4 linked regions of the Mus musculus genome follow. The protein of the gene in region 3 interacts with the protein of the main gene of each other region in a pairwise test. Links are inferred from orthologs where the notes say so. Each region holds a gene or a part of one and is shown on either strand. Other genes may lie near its edges.

Region 1 (4,972 bases), on a different chromosome or scaffold from region 3:
CACCTGTCCGGGGCCTAGGTTGGGAGCAGACAAGAATAGCTGCTAAAGAATTGTTTCCAACTTCCCTTTAGACAACTGTGTAGGCAAAAGGCTCCTGCACACCGGGCCTCCACCGGGAAAGGGATCCTCCTGGTTGGCTTAGTTGTTTTGAGCTTAATCCTGGCTGAAAGAGAACAGCACAGAGAGACCTGCCTGCTCTCTGTGTGTGTGTGTGTCCCCCAGACAGGGTCTCCTATGTAGCTCTGCCTGTCCTGGAACTATGTAGACCAGGGTGGTCTCGAACTCAGAGCCTCCTGAGTTCTGGCATTACATGCATGTGCCACAACACCTGGTGTCCTAATGATTTTCTTTCTTTTTTTAAAAAAAGATTTATTTATTATATGTAAGTACACTGTAGTTGTCTTCAGACACACTAGAAGAGGGCGTCAGATCTCATTATGGATGGTTGTGAGCCACCATGTGGTTGCTGGGATTCGAACTCGGGACCTTTGGAAGAGCAGTCAGTGCTCTTAACCGCTGAGCCATCTCACCAGCCCTGTCCTAGTGATTTTCAAATAAGCACTGGTCTACCTTTCCTTCCATTATCTCCCATTACCTCAAAAGTCCAGGAAACGAATCTTAATCACAGAGCACCCCTGGGGTAAACAGGTGTGACATTAAGAAACTGTTAGGTGTCAAACCTGGGACAAATAGCTGGGGTGCCTAGTTAACATGTCAAAGCTGACCTGGCCACCAGGTTCTCCCAGCATCCCTCAGTCCAATACCTGTTACAGGGTCCTCTAGGCTGGCATATCCGGCCCCCTAGCTTGAATCCTCCAGTCCAGGGGGCTGAGCTATTCTTCCCTATATAATCCAACCATTTTGGCTCCCTACCCTCTTTGTAATTTGGGTCTCCTGCTGTACTTGGTTCTGCTGCTCTCTCTCCTCCCTCCCCCACCCCACATCACAGGGCACAGCTCAGTTCACTCTGTACTCTCCCAGATGTTCCTGCCTCTGGCTGTGCTCTCCCACATATCTATAATAAACTTTCTCCTCCACTATACCTAGGACCAGGCATGTCCCTTTCCTTTTTATTTCTCCTTTTTTTTTTTTTTTCATTCAGAAATGACTGTATTGTATTCTCAGAGAGAATGATGTTCGAATACATAGTTACTTAGTGAGGAGATCGGAGAAATAGGACCCTGATGGGCTTGACTGAGGCTTGGGAGAGGAACGCCTCAAAATATTAAACGCATGCTTTGAGACTTTGAATCTTCTCCCCCATTCCGCATTACTTGACAATCAGCGTGAAGAAGTAGAAAACTAATTTAGTTTGTGGAATTTAAGCAGTATGAAAATTCAGCGGTTTACTATTTTAGGAAATGTATCACCTGATATTTGTGTGCCATAAATATTAGGGTCACGTCAGAAGAGAAACTTGATTTTACGACCAATTTTTATATTTGAAAACACGAAACACTGTTTTGTACTAGTTTTATATAAAGAATCACGGCCTCTTAATCTCAGCCCCTCCGGGCTTGCCTCTTCAAAGGGCTTGATGGGGACCTACAGAGGTTTCTAAAAGGCTATAACTGAAATTAAGTGCTTCGTCAAAGGGCGATTTTGTGGAACTCTCTCCCATTTTACGTCGCTAAACTTAAGTACAATAATGTCACATGTATACAGTATTTGTGGGCACGCCTAAGTCCCTCCCTCTCTCCTTGAACCAATATCTCCACATATTAGAAATCCAGCCCTTCTGCCCTCCGGAGGCGCCTTTCCCAACGTAAAGTACAATTTTAAAATTTAAGCTCCCGACTAAAAGAATGATCCCCAATCAACTGCTGGGGAACCTGGGCGCCCTAGTGCCTGCGGAGGGTGCAGTCGGGCGTGGGCACGGACAGGGGGAGTGGGCGAAGCTGCTGGTTGGTGCCTGAAATCTGTGCGTTGCCCCTTTAATTGTGTCCTCAGCCCTCGGGCGTTTCTGTCCAACGCCCACGTCAGCAAATACCTTTTGTTTCTCCCACGTTGGGGCTACTTGTTTTAGGGCGCAAAGCCTCGGCTTCGGAAAGGGGCTGCTTCCCCTACCCGGAACCGGGAATCGCTCCGCAGCGCGCGCGCGCGCGAGCGAGCGAGCGAGCGAGCGGCTAGAGCCCCGCGGTAAGTGGCTGCACGGGCGCGGGCGGGAGGAGGGCGGCCCGGGCGTCGGGGCTGCGGGCCGGGCCCAGAGCCTGGCGGAGGGCGGCGGAGCCGCCGGGGTGCGCCCCGGGACTGCAACCCCAGCCGGTGCGCCGGGCGACGCAGGGGGCACCCGGCGCCATTTGCAGCCGGGGGCGCAGAGCGGCGGCTCCGAGGGTCGGCGACGGCCACAAAGGAGACGCGGGCGGCGGCGGCGGCCCCGGGCGCGGCTGCGGGACAATGGCTGCACCGTCGCCGCCCGCGCCCGCCCCGCCGCCAGCCTTGGCCCGGCCCGGGGAAAGGCGGGAAGGCGCCCGAGCCTCCTGACGGCCGCGGCGGCGAGGCGGCGCCACGGGGCCGGGCGTGTCTGCAGACGTCGGGCGCGGGGCGCGGGGCGCTGCAGCCCGGCGGTCTCACTCCGCCCTCCACTCTCTGGTTTTCCATCACGACGCGACAGTTCTGGGCTTAGAACCGAGGGCAGAAATATGGAGCCCCAGCTGGCCCCGCGGCAGAATGTCCCTGGCATCTCCCACCTGGAGACACTGTCGGCTTTAGTCCCTTCGCGCTCTGGCGCGCTTACTCGCCCTTGACCGTGCGGTTATTCGTAATCCACGTCTTTGCGAGACGTGTTTGGAATAGGATTCACACCTAGCGGGCACCCAACCACACACGCCGCCAACACCTAGAAGTCTTTCTATTTGCAGAACTTTAGTAAATGGAGTGGTTTCACTTTGACGAAATATTGCACTTAATTTCTTATGAGACGGCTACGGGTTCCGGCTGTTTATTCTACCTAGCAAAGGGGAAAGGGGGAAAAATAAAACGCTAATGGTTAGGGAGTCTCATCCCTAGGCAGGGAGCTGAGACGTGGCAGCCCCCCAAGGCGCCCTGTTCTTGCAGCGTCCCGGAACAGTCTCCAAAGTACCAAAACCTTCGCTGATTTTATCACTTAAATCGCACTTTTATTTACCTATTTATTCTTTGTTTTAAAGCGGACTCAGGCTAGACTTGAAAATTTGATCTTACCTCCACCTCGGGAGGGCTGGGATGCACTAGGCAAATTTTTGGCACAATTATATACTTTTTAATATTCAAAGACGTTAATATAAGTTTTAAAACTCCTCTTTTAAAAAGCTATTTTATATATCTTTTTTTTGAAGGCACTGTTTCATGTACCCCAGGCTAGCCCTAAATCTTGGACCTCTGATTCTCTTGCAGCCCCTACCAAATGCTGGGATTACAGGCATAGATCACCACACCTGATATTATCCTGTACTTGAATTGAACCCATGCATGTCACATAGGCACTCTACCACTAAACCCAGCCCTCTCCAAACCTTAAATGGCTCCTTCACATCCTACTAAAAAAATAAAAAAATCCAAAACCCCCATGGTGTGTGTGTGTGTGTGTGTGTGGTGTGTGTGGTGTGTGTGCGTGTGGCGTGTGTGTGTGTGTGTGTGTGTGTGTGTGTGTGTGTGTGTGTGTATTTTGAACCCGGGCCTTGCATGGGCTAGGTAAATGTTACCATTGAGATACATCCCCAGGCCCCTTATTTTAAATTTTAATTTTATTATGAGATGAGGGTTTTCTCAGGGTTGCCTTGGTCTTACTTCTTCCTGCCCCGCCTCCCAAGACCCTGGGGTTAGCCGACATTACTGGCACACCACAGTGACCTCCTCTCCCCACCCATCCCTCCTCCATCTGTTCCTGTCCACCTCACGGCCTTTGCACCTGCTGTTTGGTTTGCCTGGAGTAGTTTCAAAGATACACATTCTTTCCTGCTATGGACACCAATCACTCAGATGTCATCTTCTCGGTGAGGCCTTTCCAAGTATAGTTTCAAAACTCGAGTCTCTCTCTATTTTTTTTTTTTTTTAGATTTATATATATATGTGTGTGTGTGTGTGTGTTGCCTGCCTTTGTGCCAGTATACCAAGTGCTTGCCTGGTGCCAGATGAGGGTGTTGAATCCCCTTACATGGATGTTAGAGATGGCTGTGAACCTCCATGTGGGTGCTGGGGATTGAACCCAGATCCTTGGAGAAACAGCCAGTGCTTTTAACTGCTGAGCCATCTACCCAGTCCCTCTTAAGTGTTCTAACATTTCATTCTAAGACTTTCCTATCTTAGACCCTGTAGACCATATGTGCTACTAAGATTACCGAAGGTCAGGTCACATAGAAGGAACAGATATTACTGGGCCGTGGCGTTGCATACCTTTAATCCCAGCAGAAGCAGGCAGATCTCTCTGTTTTGGAAGCCAGCCTGGTCAACAGATCAAGTTCCGGGCCAACCAGGGCTACATACACAGGGAATCCCTGTCTAGAAGAAAACAACAGAACAGATATTTACTTCTTGCACTGGTAGATGCTGGGAAGCACAAGATTATGGTGCCCTGTGTGGCTTCTTTCTGCTTCCCGGAAGGCACCTCTTCGTGGCATACATAATGAGGGTAAATACAGTGCTGTGCCTTCATTAGTAAAATGGGTAGAAGGGATGAGGTGGAGAGCAGACCTACTCCTCCAAATCTCTTTATTAGGATGCTAATCCCGTCCCCGAGGGCAGCACCCCTCCCCCCAGGGTGGCCTAATCACCCCCTAAAAGCTCCTATAATACTCTTCCTCCTCTGCGAGTGAACTTTCAGCCTGAACTTTGGAGGCGACACAGATTTCTAAAGCTCAGCTCTTAAGTTGTTTCTGGACTTAATTCTAAACCTTCCCAGAATTGTACATGGCCGTTCGTCCTCCGAAGAAATACAGTCGCCATTCAAAGAACAGTTTGCTCTCTTCCCGTTAGCCCAAAGTTAGGAGGTGGG
Region 2 (4,723 bases), on a different chromosome or scaffold from region 3:
TGAGTTTCAGGACAGCCAGAACTACAAAGAGAAACCCTGTCAGGTTCCTACTAGAGCCTTTGTTTCTATAGGGTATATATAAGGCATCCATCCTCATATTTGAAAGTTAACTAAGATCCTTGGCCTATTCAAGTGCACCAATTCAGAATCTAATCTCCATCCTTTGCATAGCTCAAGGTTTTACAGTGGGCTTTCAAAAACACTCACAGAACTCCCATCATGCTTGATGCCCAGAGGGTGGATGTTATTGCAGCCAACTTTGAAAGAGAAGAATCTGTACTTAGCTGGAACAAAATTCGCTAGAATTAAAATGACCTGTAGGGAAGCAGAAGGGAACACCAATTGCATGGTGAAGGATATCTGTGTTCATGAATACTGGCTTCCTGTGCACACGCTACCTTTGCACGTGCCTAGGCAAGGACCGATCTGCATCTGGAGATCCAAGCTGGTAAAGACCCAAGCTGGCTTTGAGCAAGCACTCAGTGAGGCCGCTGGCAGGAGAGCTAGTTGCACGAGAAAGAGACACGAGGGTCTGAGAACAACAGATAAAGACAGGACAAGATTCGGACTCGGTCTATCTTTCTATAATTAATGACATGCCATTACCTCTGTTGAACAATTCAAGCCAAAGACTAAATGAGATTTACCTTAAGTTAATATTTGATATTCTCCCGCCAGCCTGTCCCAAATATGACACCTGAGTATCTCTTTAGCTTTGATTTTCTGGCAAAAATTTCTCAACAATTTCCCAGAAAGAGGGGAAATGTTCCACAGACATTTCCCACGGGGCTTGTCCATCTTCAGTTACAGCCTTCCTTTACCGGACACATACTGCAGGAAAGATGAACTACCAGTGGACCTCCTGAACTAGGTAGGTGCTCACTACTACAGCTATGAGATACCTTTCAGTTTTCTAGTCTGAGGCAATAAAAGGCACCAACTTTAGCAAGAGTAAACTTCCTTTACAGAACACAATTCCCAGGCTGGAGAGAAGGCTCAGCTGTTTAAGGATGATTTCTGTTCTTCCAAAGGACCCAAGTTGGAGTCTCCACACCCAAATCAGATGGCTCACAACTACCTGTGACTCCCACTCTAGGGAGATCCTTCACCTCTAGCCTCCAGGGGACCTGAGCTTAGGTGCACACACACATTCATGTAATTAGTAATTTTTTTAAGAAGCCAAACTCTGTAGATTCAACATCTAATAAAGGATTAGTGGTTAGGTTGTGCTGATAGGGAGCCAGTAAACAGCAGTTCACCAGACTGCCTCCCCAACTGTGTAATCTTATGTCTTGTCCAATTTCTGAAAACTCGGGGCCCAGATGTAATTCTAAGCTTATGCTTAAAAGGGAACAAGCTATAGACACTGACTCTTTAAAGGGTTGTTGTTTCTCTCCTGAGATTTTAAGGAAGCTGGTCCTCTTGCCAACAAACCTAGCTCCTTTCTGAGCTAGTGTCTTAACCTTCAAGACTGAAGAGTGATGTTTATATTCTTGCTGGATCGTGGGACTTCCTGTGTTTTATGAGAACACGCTGGGTTTTTATGCTGCTGGCTGAGGGTAAAGCCCAGGTAAATAAACACCACAGAAGGCTGAAATTGAAGGGGGGGGTGAATAGGAAAACTCCAGCAGGAAAGCACAATTCTTTTAAAGCAGGAAAAGAAAAGAAAAGGGGGGCAAAACCCCACCAAAACAAATGCATCTTAAAAGCCCAAACGGACAAGTCATTAGCAGTGCCTTTGGTCTTGTGTTAACAAATCCCTTCAAAGGATTAGATGAGGACTTCAAAGGAATAAAAACTCAAAACCAGACAGCTAATGACTCTTAAAAGGGCATTTGTGTGGACGTGGAAAAAAAAAAACCGATACCTTCGTTCCTGGCTCCCCTTGTTAAGGCTAGAGAATGGGCTAGGAGGGTACAGGCTGTGGAATGGGGAAGGGAGGGGGGGCTGTTCTTTGCAAACCAGCGCAAAGCTCAGAGCACTAGACAGTACATGCTCATTAAAGCTCTGGTTCGCTGACACACACACACACAGCCCTTCTGAGAGTTCGATGAGATTCTGCTCCCTAGAAAAACATACTAGACAGAAAAAAAAATGTGCACTAACTTTCGAGGTTCACATGCCCGCACTAGGAAACTCAGGGGAGGGGCGAACATGTACCGGGAGGAACGACAGATTAGCAATTCTAGAAGTCTCTGGAGGCCAGAACCAGTTCCCAGGTGGACAAGCGGACCTCATCAACTGTCCGCTCTACTCCGGGCCTGGTAGGAGAGTCGACGTCGGAGACCCCGGGATGTTCTAGTTGGGATGCCCCCCTTTCCAAGGCCAAATGGACAAAAAGGAAGGGAACCTGGAGAGGGTGGGACGAAAAGGGAGAAGGCAGAATCTTGTCCTCCACTCTCCCTGCCCTGCACCTGTGCCTCAGAGCTCCGGGTGCCAGCTCCTGGGCAAACTTTCTGGCCCTGGTAAAGGTTTGGGGAGCTTTCCAGATAGCCCGGAGCGGTCCGCAGGGTCGATCCCAGTTACAGCTTCCGCCGCCCAGTCCCTCTCGGTGTTTCCAGAGTCACCCGCGAGGAAAGAGAACCCCTGGGAGACGGAGGGATCAAGGGCACGCTGCGGGCGCGCACCTGGAGTCAGCCCCTCGCGCCTAGCCTGGGACCCTGTTTGGGGTGCCGGAACAGAAGCGCCACACTTACTCAGACGGGTCCAGGCTCTTCCTTTCGATGGCCGAGGACATTGGGGAGGGGGGCGGCGTGCCGGGCGGCGGGGGCGCTCCCTTTGTGGCGCGTGGCTGGCTAGCTGCCTGGACTCGGACCCCCTCGGGTGCTCGGGCGCCGCCGCTCCTGCGCCTCCTCTTGCTCGGTCGCTCCGCTGGCGAGCTCGCCCCTCCACGCTCAAGGACAGTCACCGCGCTCCCTTCAAACGCCAAAGAGAGAGAGCGAATCATCCAGCTGCCCGGCGCGCGGCGGCCAAGGCAGGGGGCCGGGGAGCAGCCCGGCCTCCCTCCGGTGGCTGCGACAGCTGCCGCTGCTCAGGACTTAACCTTCCATCCCGGTCCCGCTGCCGTCACCACAGCCGCCGCCGCCGCCGCCCGGTCCCGATCGCGCGCAGTAGCCGGCTCCGCCCGGTCGCCCCGAGCCCCTCGCACCTTCGCCGGGGTCGGGGCGCCGGGGGCAGTGAGGGGGCGGCGGCCTGGGGGCGGGGAGCTGACCGCGCGGCTCTCCCCAGGCTCCCTCCTCTCTCGCGAAGGTCTATTTTCGCTCAGCTTCCCTCTGTCTCTGGTTTCATTTCCTTTTTCCTGATCACGATTCAAATACAATAGAAGGAAATCACATTTAAAGAGACAGCTGCCCGCCCCCTCCCCCCTTTTTTTCTTCCTTTTTTTTTTTTTTTTTAAACGGGGCTCCTGGGGATTAGCAATCCAAATAGCGGCGGCGGCGGCGGCGGCGGCGGCAGCGGCAGCAGCAGCAACGGCGACAGCGGCAGCCCTGACTTGGCTTCTTAAAAGGGCCCGCGGCAGAGACCGAGAGTCTCCCCTGAGCCCCTCTCCTGGGGCAAGAATCCCGCTGCCACTAAACTGTCTTTTTCAGAGTTCCCCTTCTTCTGCCTTTCCCTTTGGCCTCAGGCTGAAAGTAACCACTCGCCCGTTCCAGCAGGAAAGAAAAGACAAGAATGTGAAATAAGCACCTGCAGAAATGCAAGCGTTGCTAATGGCTGGCTAGCGCGCGCTCGTCTCGGGTTCGAGGTCCCAAGTCCACAGTCGTGGTGCTCTGCGATGCCCGAGACAGTGCGGCTCTGCTGGCGGCAAGCTAGTAGCTGCGACTGCTCTCCAGAGAGGGGCGCAAGCTGTGTGACCAGGAACCTCACGCGCTAGGTGCGCCTGAGCAGAGCTGGGGGCAGCTAATCCCGCAGGGAGGGTGTCTGGGAGGGACCACGTTGTCCGGGTCTCCTCTCCATCTGCTGGCGGCAGAATTCCCTCCCCTAGCCTCTTTCAAAGAGCGAACTCCAGCGGTGAGGCTGGCCCTCTCTGTAAAGTATCAGCAGCAATACTTGCTTGGACCGGAGGAAGTTCCTTCCCGATAAAAAGACTTTCAGTTATTACTTACTATTATTTTGTCTTATATAAAACAAAGAAAAGGGCAGGTTTCTCCTTCAAGCTTGAAGACAAGTTCTAGAAGGAGAAAGAAATACAGAAGGGAAGAGATGGATTCCAGCTAGCTACTTTTCAGGAGAAAAACCTAGGTCCCCCTGGGCCTTGAGTTCCTTGAAACTGAGTCCAGAAATGATCGTTCAAGGCCCGTTAGCTTATGATGATGACAGTCTTCAGGTTTGTAAAGAGGAAAGTCCCGAGTGCTCTCAGAATCCATTGTTTAGTAAGAACAGCCCGGATCAAAGACATAGGCATTTCAGCCCCAATTTAAAGATTGCTTTAATAACCTAGACCAGCTCACCCCGGAAGATGATAGTCAGAAATGAATTCCCGGATTCCCCGTACTGAGCAAAGTCCTCCCTGATTTCTCCCTAGCAATAGCCTGAACCACTACCCACAGATTCGTGTCATTTCCCTCTCTCTCCATGTCCTGACACGTATACTGAAAGGGAATAATTAAAATCTGTGTTTGTGCGCCTGCCCTCGTGTTGGTCCAAAACCCACCTTCAGTGTATAAAAAGATATTTTCTATTTAAGTCCTTAGTTTTTCTAAATTAAAAAACAAATTTTTTA
Region 3 (4,314 bases):
TCAGTACTGAAAAGGGCCTCCTTGCTCAGACAGATAGCTCTGCAGGGGGTAGATAAAGAATCTGGGGTTCAGAGAGATTTCCAGTTAGTTAGAGTCACTCAGAAAGCTCATGCCCCAGAACCCAGGCCAGCTGGGGTTCCAGCTCTCACGACTTCCTGACTCTGGCTACATTTATACACATATCACCTGTTCTGCCAGCCATGATGGGATATTTGAATGGTGTCATAGAAAAGCTGCAAGCCTTTCTGTTCCTGGGTAACTCTGAAGACCTAAGCCTGTGTAAAAGGATTTCAGACATGAAAGGTGTAGGAGGGCTGAGTGGAAACATGGCCTCTCTCTTGTCTTGCACAGAGCTTGGCTTCAGGCACCTTATTTCTAGTCTCCATGGTCCCTCTCCTCAGAACTCTCCAGGGATCATCCCAGCTTTCCAGCTCAGGCAGCAGGTACCAGGCCACCTCAGAGAACCCAGGACCCAAGTTGGATGTGAGAAGAGCAATTGTTTATTCCACAAGAAAGACAAACACGGGCTGGAGAGATGGCTCAGCGGTTAAGAGCACTGACTGCTCTTCTGAAGGTCCTGAGTTCAAATCCCAGCAACCACATGGTGGCTCACAACCATCCATAATGGGATCTAACACCCTATTCTGGTGCATTTGAAGACAGCTACAGTGTACTTACATATAATAAATAAGTAAATCTTTAAAAAAAAAAAAAGAAAGACAAATGCTTATTGACTGACAGCTTTTATTAAAGGCGTCTTTGGGGGCACGTGAATCCCCAGCACATGGCGAAGGAGATCTGCTCCGGTCTCAGGTCTTCTGGTTGTTAGAGATCTCAATCTGAGAGTCTGAGGGTCTGTTGAGCTTCTTGTCTGAGCTGGGCAGGGAGGTTTCCAGTTTCGAGAGCTGCTGGCGATTCTTGGATGCTCCAGCATTCTATGACATGCAAGTAGGGCAGATGAGTACATCCCCACTCCAAGGGCATCTTACCTGGCAAGTCAGGCTCCTGAGTCTTCAAAACCCAGTAGGCTGTGACTTCTGACTAACATTGGAGCCCATTTCATCACCGAAAGTGACCCCTCATATCTCTGGGTCCCTAGTGCTAGATAAGCTTACAGAGGTAAGCTATGCTCCCCGGAAGCCCCTCATCCTTCAGGTTCTGTCTAGGGGTGGTAGAGCCTTGGCTGCAAGCCAAGTGCTGATTGGGGAGGGTAGGGAAATCAGGATCTTTGTTGTAGGGTGTGAAGTCCCAGGGCTGGCCCTCGGGTAGGGAGTACTGCCTTCTCTGTGGTTAACTATTTGTTCCTGGGAAGAAGGCAATGTGGATCTATTCCTAGTGTTGACATAACCTAAGAAGGCAGCTAAACACACCTTTAATCTCAGCACTTGGGAGGCAGAGGCAGGCAAAATCTCTGTGAGTTTGAGGTCAGTTTGGTCTACAAAGTGAGTTCTAGGGTATCCAGGGCTGTTACACAGAGAAACCCTGCTTTGAAAAGCCAGAAACAAAAAGAAAAAGAAAAAGAAAAAAAAGGCAGCTAAACAGAGAAACGGGTGGGAAGAGGTACAAGGTATTCTGTGAAGCCAAAGTAGAGCAAGAACATTCCAGAAATGCTTAGTATAGGTCATTTCTCACCCACACTGGTCTCCTAGAGGTTCACAACAACCAATGGGAAAGGGGACACATGGGCAGACACTCCTGCCCCTTTGGATGTGTGGAGGAATGGAGGTCACTTGAATATCCAGTTTGCTGACAGAACCTCAGCTCAAGACTTCTGACACTTACTTAGCTTACGATCTACCCCCCACACACATGATTTTCTCAGGGCCCCAAGATTTGGGGTGGGATGGCTTCTAGCCCACCACCTAGATTTCCAGGAACTACTCCGTCAGGGTCACTCACAGGCTGGTCTATGATGATGGAGTTTGGTGGCTGTCCAAAGCCGTGTTGTTGCTCTTGAAGACGAATGGCCAGGTTTTGCTTCTCTCGTGCCCAGTGGCGAGCTGACTCCTCCAGCTTCAGACATGGAGAGAAGCCATTGGAAAGCCAGCAGTCAGTATGGTTTTCCCTACCTCAAGCCAGGACAATCAGAATTTGGGGCGATCCTCTGGGAAGAGGCAAGCAAGCTCTGGCAGTAGCAGAGGTGAGGCGACAAATACGCAGCCCAAGACACAGTCGGATCTTCTCTGCACTTGGTATGGAGTCCAGTCTGATCTGAGTCTACACTGGGCCTTGACTCTGGTCACAGACTAAGACTGACCCTCACATACTGAGCCTAATTCTGTCAGACACTGAGCCTTGACTCTGCTTGTATACTAAGCCTTGCCCCTGGCTGTAGGCTGAACAGTGAGCCTGGTTCAGCCTGATCAACCCCAGCACCTCACTTACCTGGTTTTCCAGGGACAAGATCCGACTCTGAGCTTGTTCTAGCTTGGCCAGGAGGTTAAACTTGTCTGAAGTACCACCAAGGAAGTCCTGTGGGAGCACACACTACTGTAAGGTCCTAGCTGGGAGCTGAGGCCAAGAGAGCCATGGAAACACAAGTCTACTGCAAGAAAAGCCAGCCAGGTGTGGGTTTCAAATTCAGCTGTGGATACAGAGCCTCACTCCCGGGCCAGGGCCTCTTCCTTAAGACCGTCCCAGGGCTTCACATGCACTTAATCTCCCACGTTGCTTCCCACTCAGTACTGGAGAGTCTAACCTTAAACCATTTTTTTTAAGGTGGGATAATATATATTCCAGGCTGGCCTTGAACTCACTACATTGTGAGAATGACTTTACTTCTGCTCCTCCTGCCCCCATTCTCCTGAGTGCTGGGGTTGCAAGCAGGTGTAGATTTATACAGTGCTGGGGATCGAACACAGGGCTTCACATATGCTAGGCAAGCATTCTATCAACTGAGCTGCACCCCCGACTCATACCTAATGCTTTAACATATCAACTGCTTATGTAAATGCATTAATACATGGTATGTGGTTAAACTGGAGGTCTTTTGTAGCATAAAGGCTCATCAGAGCAGGGGATACCCATCTCTCACGCTTTGCCTGGCTGCCCATGCACTGGGATAATGCAAGCAGAACTCACGTCCTGGGATGAGGAAGCACACTCACCTGTGTTCTCATGCCACCAGAGCTCCAAATATTGATTTTGGGTTTGTGTACAGCAGGGGCACCTGGAGCAGCCTGGGCAGTGGAGTAGCCTCCTGGGACACCCACCTGTGCTGGCAGGGTCTCTGTGGACTTGGGGTGGCCCGGGCCATTTGTGTCTTGTAGCCTTTCTGCCAAATCTCCACCTGCTCCCAACTCCCTGGGATCCACCTGGGATGGGGAAAAGGGCTCTCCAAGGCTGCACCAATCCCAGAAGGTCCTGAGAGGCCCCATGGTGGGAGGGTGTCCAGATGGGAGCAAGTCAGGTGGCAGGTGAAGTTAGGATTCAGGGGTCAAGGGTGATCCAGGGCCTTGCTCTCTCCCAGGATGGCAGACAATGGTGAGATAGTTATCTTAGGAGCGCAAGAGCAAGGCCCTAGTACGAATGTTTCCAGTGCTGTTGGGTGCTGGGAAGCCCAGATTCTGGGCCGAATCTTCAACTTGGTTCATGCGAGGGATGATTGTGGGCTACCTGCTGACCAGTGCCGGCAGGCTCAAGCCAGACCTGTGTGGCAGCTCTTACCGGTAGGGCCTGCTGCTGCAGAATGATGGGGGCTGACTGCTGGCGGTTCTTTTCCAGCTCTGTCCGAAGCCTCGTGTTTTCTGCTAGCAGCATGGAGTAAAGGTCAACAGCCAGGGTCTCTCCCACGGGGCCCAGAGGAATGCCCGAGGCTGTGAACACAGGAACAGGTGCTTTCGAGATGGGCTTTGCTGCTTCTATGTGCCCATTAGCCTCAGTATCAACGGCTCTCCTTTGCCAGTAGAGTCAGGTCCATATCCCTCGGGCTGTCCTCCCAGGCTGTTTAGATTCCTACGTTTTCCCCATGTCCCTCCCTGCTCGATTCTCCTTGTATTTGTCTCTCTGGTCACTCTCTGGTCCTTCGGCCTGGTTGCCCTCTGCAGACTCACCCAGACTCCAGGTGAATAAGATTCCCTGAGAATTTCATGGTTTTCTAAAGACTTCCAGCCCCTGAGTACCTAACCATCCATGAAGACTGGGCCCAGGGCCAGAACTACAGAGATACTTGGAGAGCATTCTCACATGGCCCGGGAGATGATCCACTTGATAAGGTGTTATTTTATTCTTTTGTGCTTATCAGAGCCATTTTTGATTGACAGTTGTGGGTGGCTGTGGTTTACACCAATGGGGAAAATAAACGGATACTATCAG
Region 4 (4,725 bases), on a different chromosome or scaffold from region 3:
ATTTAATCTTCCGTGTCTAGTGACAGGAGTGCACTAGTAGCAGAGGACTGGGGTGAGGTAAGGCATCAGACCAGGAGCCAGACCAAGGTCACAGAACAAGAACCTAGCAGAGCCACTCAGAACTCACCCACACATTCGGGTCCAATTTTTCGGTAACCATCAGGGCAGGTGCACTGGTAGGAGCCAGGAAGGTTATGGCAGTCCTGACTAGGGCGACAGTCATGCAAAGCCTGGGTACACTCGTCCACATCTGTGAGAGACAGCATTCAGCCTTCGCCTGGAGGCCCCCATATGCTCCTGACCACGTGAGGGATCTCAATTCGGGAGGAGGCGGACTGCCCTAGACTCCATTCACATGGGCACGTGGGTGGTTGGCACTAAATCATGGATGTGTAATTCAGATCATCCCAATAGTACAAAAAAAAAAAAAAAAAAAGAGTCCACCAAGGAGTCACTAGGAGAAGTACCCACTAGGAGAGCATATTAAAATAAGGCCTTGTGGGGTCTGGTGGCACACACCTTTAACTCCACCACTGGGGGAGGACGTGGGGGGCAGAGGCAAGAGGATCTCTGTGGGTTCCAAGCTAGTTGTAGCTAGAGCTACAGAATGAGACACTGTCTTAAAAATAAATAAATACACAAACAAACAAAACCTTGTCCATTTACACCCCTCAGCTGACTCTAGGGCCAGGATCTTTCCTCCTCCAAGGCCAATGGTTCCCAAGGCTGACTCCAGATCAAAAAGCTGCCAGAGGCTGCGAGCAGAGCTCCTGTGTCTGTACAGGAAATGAGGGGCTGCCAGGGCCTTCCTGGGCCTGCAGACCATGCTAAGCCTGCAGTAGATGACGACTTGGATCTGTCTCTGAGGAGCCAGGGGGAAGAGGAGCATGAGGCCTGGGGATTTTATAGGGAACATTACTTTTACTAATTAATTAATTAATTAGCTCCCTTTTTGAGATAAGAGCTCACCCAGCTCAGGTCGTCCTCAGTCAAAGCCCTTACGGTTGAGGGTGCCCTTTACCTTCAGGTCTTCCTGCTCACATCTCCCCACTGGTGGGACTACAAGTGTCTGCTACCACACAGACCACAACTAGCTTGGAACCCACAGAGATCCTCTTGTTTTTGTGATGGTGGGGATCAAATCCAGAAACTGTCTCAAAATCGCCCCCAAAAGAAAACAAAAAAATAAATAAAAAACAAAAACAACAACAACAAAAACTAGGGAGGACCAAAAAGTGCTACTAGAAGATGAAAACAAACAAGAATGACATGTGCCAGGAGATGATACCATGATGGAACGCATTACTTTGTACAGTAAATACAAAATTAGTTTAAAAATTAAAAAAAAAAAAAGTCAGGAATGGTAACACACGCCTATAATCCCAGCACTCGGGAGGCAGAGGCAGGCAGATTTCTGAGTTCGAGGCCAGCCTGGTCTATGAGTTCCAGGACAGCCAGGGCTCCACAGAGAAACCCTGTCTCGGGGAAAAAACTCATAAACCGCGTGGAAGCCCAGACACCCGATCAGCCCTTGCTTACCCACACAGCTCTCCTGTTCATCAGGCTCGTAGCCCTGCGGGCAAGGGTTTGGTTGTTGAGCATGGGCCGCTGGCGGTGGAGGTCCTTCACCATGGAGATCACTGATGACGGCAGCAGAGCGAGGCAGACACAAATAACCCCCGTAGTGGTTGATGCATTTCATCTCACCCTTGCAAGCCTCCGGGATGGTCAGGCACTCGTTGACATCTGCAGAGAGGGGCCTGCTGGGCACAGCCAGTCACCTGGGCTGGCCCTGGAGGTAGTGGGAGGCAGATGCCCAACTTGGCCTTCTCTAAGCTGAGCAACAGAGCAAGACTTTCTCTCTGCTAGGCAAACTAAGGCTGCTGACCCAGAAGCCCTGCCAGGGATTGGCAGGACTGGGAGTGGGGCCCCCTGTTTCACACTGGTATCTCCATTCTCCTGCCTCCTCAAATCCCTGCCTCTACCTTTGCCCAAGAGAAATTTTGCGGGCCTGCCGACCCACGGGGCATGCACGGCTCTCCCAGGCTGCATTGGGATAAAGAGCTGGGCTAGGCAGGTACAGTGCAGTCCAGGGAAGGTGTGCGTATTTCCTTCTCTCTGGGCAATAGCCAGGTGCTCCCTTCCCTCCTGCAGGATAGAGGCCGTTTGTCCAGCTTCTTGAAGGGGCAGGGCTCCTAACTGAGTGGCACAAGGGAAGCATGGCTGGCTACCAAGCTGGACAGGGAAAAGGGCCATCAAGTTCCTGCAGCAGCTCTGGGAGGTAAGGTATCCCTGGGAAACAACAACCCCCTTCCCAGTTCCTGAAGATGGCTAGTACCCCAGACAGAGACTCACCCCGGCAGTGCTGGCTGTCTGCATCCCACTCATAGCCATCTGTGCATTCCTGGAAGGGAACCCGATGTGGCCAGTGACCACCCTGGCTGTCTCCACCAACTAGCCAGGCCAAGACCAGGGCCAGAGTTCAGAGTCATGCTCGGGTCAGCTCCACACAATGGCCTCCAGCTTTCCACCAACCAAGCCGGGGAGAATCTTGCCCAGAAGCAGCCTCCCCAGGATCCTGATCTCACTGTCCTTCCCATCCCATCCCAAGCTGGTGACCCCACGGTCCCCACCGTGTAGCTGTCCGGCTCCTCGGGATCCTGTGGGGACGCTGCTCCCAAGAGCAACAGCAGAAACGCCCAGAGCAGCAAAGACCCGGGGAGGCAGGAGGCAAAAGGGAGCATCCTGAGGCTGGGAGGTGGTGGGCAGAAGTCAGGGGTTTCTGCCACAGCACCCCCCATTCCCTCTATCTGGAAGGGGAGCCTGGGTCCCAGCTGTCTCGTCTCAGGACTGTGCTGAGGCTGGAACCTTCCAGGGCTGGGGACAGAATCCTTTCGCAGGCCTATGGCCCAGGCCCGCAATCCCGGACCGCCCCGCCCCCGCCCCGCGAGTCGTGAAGCGCAGGCCTCCCCGCTCCGCGCAGCACCGACTCGGCCGCCAAACGGCCCGCGCCCTCCCTCCGCTGGAGGCCACTCACGCGTCGACTCCAGCAGTGCCTGCGGGCGGGCGGACGGACGGACGGACCGCGCAGCTCACTGGACGCGCGGCCCCAGGAAGCGCCCCCCGCCCGCCCGCCGGCCGCGGCCCACCCCGGCGCCTCCGCCCGCCCTTCGGCGGATTCCTGAGCCCGCGCCAGGGGGAGGGACCCCGACCCCCCGGCTTCTCCGCCCCGGCCGGCCACAGGCCCCCACCCGGTCCCCCGCGGCGCTGCCTGGAGTCGCCTGCGGACGCCCAGCCAGAGTTTCCCAAAGTTTGGATCCTTAGGCCACTGACCTTGATGCTTGGCCCCCAAACTCACCTAAGGACCCCGGGCCTTCACTCAAAATGTTATTCTGCCCACCTAGACCCTATCTAACCTGTGCCTCCGGAATCCCATGCTGTGCATTCGCACCTCCGTGTAACCCGATTCTGCGCCTCCCAGAACCTACTAGGCATTTAATCCTCAGAGCTTCAAATTCTACTCCTTTCAGAATTTTATCCAGTGTTAAACCATCATCACTTAGATGATCCTAAAACTTCATCCAAGGTTTCCAGACCCTCGTCCAACTTAATTAATTGTCCAAATTAATTGTCCAATTCCCTCTGCATCCACATCCACGGCCTCCAGGTGGTCTCTTTACTTGGGGTACTGCTTCCCCAAGCCGTGCCAGCGCAAAACTACAGTAGTATGGGGGAGAGGGCAGCAGTATTCTTGGCTCGAAATGAATGGAAGCCCCTGGGAAGGCGGGCAAGCTTGAACTTGGGCGCGGAGGACACTAGGGCCCAGTGCCAGCCCTTTCCCGAGCCTCTTCCCATCCAAGTCCCCCACCCAGTTTCCGCCTCCGCCCCCAGCGGAGATCATGCCTTGGAGGCGGAGTCTGGGTGCCTCCAGCGCCCAGGAAGGGGTGAATGGGCGGGACTTCGCGTTGCCCACGTCTCAAGGCGGGCCTAGACGGGAAAGGGTTGCGTGTCCAGGGTTCCCGTGCCTGGCCCAGACCGCTAGCGGCAATAACCAGGTCTTCCTTAACTTTCCCTTACCCAACCTCTTTCCATCTTGTTTGTTTGTTTGTTTTTGTTTTGTCATTTTGAGACAGGGTCTCACATTGTGTAACTCTGACTGTTCTGGAACTCACTAAGTAGATGAGGCCTCGAACTCACAAAGATCCGCCTGTTTCTGCCTCCTAGGCTCTGGGATGAAAGGTGTACACTACCATGCTCCGCTCTGCCTTGACGTTTAAAAAAAAAAATCTGCTTCATTTCATTTAACTGTCTGAGTGGTAATGTATGTGGTATATTCGTGTGTACCTATTCACCTTATGTTTTAAGACAGGGTTTGTCGCTGGAAATTACTAATTTAGCTAGATTGCGTGGCCAGAGTGCCAGAGTGGTCTGCCAGTCTTCACCTCCCTGGCCCTCTAAGGGTTACAAACCTGCATCACCACTATAGCTGGCCTTTATGCTAGGGCTGGAAATCTGAACCCAGACCCTCATGCTGTGTAGCAAGCGGTTTACCCAATAAGACATTTCCTCAGCTTCCATTGCCTTGATTAGAAAAAAGAAAAAAAAATTAACGGGCTGGAGAGGTGGCTCAGCAATTAAGAGCAATGACTGCTCTTCCAGAGGTCCTGAGTTCAATTTCCAGTAACCACATGGTGACTCACAACCATCTGTAATGGGGATTGGATG

Evidence for each region. The genes of interacting proteins can lie anywhere in the genome.
Region 1: the proteins of Ccdc33 (region 3) and Zbtb8a interact in a two-hybrid assay, tested with the Homo sapiens proteins (2 studies listed by BioGRID and IntAct). The two-hybrid records come from large-scale screens. The link is inferred for Mus musculus from reciprocal best matches to the Homo sapiens genes CCDC33 and ZBTB8A.
Region 2: the proteins of Ccdc33 (region 3) and Lmo2 interact in a two-hybrid assay, tested with the Homo sapiens proteins (2 studies listed by BioGRID). The two-hybrid records come from large-scale screens. The link is inferred for Mus musculus from reciprocal best matches to the Homo sapiens genes CCDC33 and LMO2.
Region 4: the proteins of Ccdc33 (region 3) and Efemp2 interact in a two-hybrid assay, tested with the Homo sapiens proteins (2 studies listed by BioGRID). The two-hybrid records come from large-scale screens. The link is inferred for Mus musculus from reciprocal best matches to the Homo sapiens genes CCDC33 and EFEMP2.

Annotation. Positions count from the first base shown.
Region 1 is NC_000070.6:129,374,907-129,379,878, reverse strand, and holds the start of Zbtb8a (zinc finger and BTB domain-containing protein 8A), read left to right. Parts: upstream 1-1,850; 5' UTR 1,851-2,139; intron 2,140-4,972. UniProt on the Homo sapiens protein: May be involved in transcriptional regulation.
Region 2 is NC_000068.7:103,968,686-103,973,408, reverse strand, and holds the start of Lmo2 (rhombotin-2), read right to left. Parts: upstream 3,123-4,723; 5' UTR 3,051-3,122; coding exon of another isoform or gene 3,044-3,050; 5' UTR 2,948-3,043; coding exon 2,697-2,947; intron 1-2,696. UniProt on the Homo sapiens protein: Acts with TAL1/SCL to regulate red blood cell development. Also acts with LDB1 to maintain erythroid precursors in an immature state.
Region 3 is NC_000075.6:58,027,949-58,032,262, forward strand, and holds the end of Ccdc33 (coiled-coil domain-containing protein 33), read right to left. Parts: intron 3,816-4,314; coding exon 3,667-3,815; intron 3,315-3,666; coding exon 3,108-3,314; intron 2,473-3,107; coding exon 2,386-2,472; intron 2,014-2,385; coding exon 1,900-2,013; intron 936-1,899; coding exon 810-935; 3' UTR 734-809; downstream 1-733.
Region 4 is NC_000085.6:5,473,087-5,477,811, reverse strand, and holds the start of Efemp2 (EGF-containing fibulin-like extracellular matrix protein 2 isoform 1 precursor), read right to left. Parts: upstream 3,123-4,725; 5' UTR 3,038-3,122; exon of another isoform or gene 2,802-3,037; coding exon of another isoform or gene 2,745-2,801; coding exon 2,634-2,744; intron 2,405-2,633; coding exon 2,356-2,404; intron 1,747-2,355; coding exon 1,540-1,746; intron 251-1,539; coding exon 128-250; intron 1-127. UniProt on the Homo sapiens protein: Plays a crucial role in elastic fiber formation in tissue, and in the formation of ultrastructural connections between elastic laminae and smooth muscle cells in the aorta, therefore participates in terminal differentiation and maturation of smooth muscle cell (SMC) and in the mechanical properties and wall integrity maintenance of the aorta.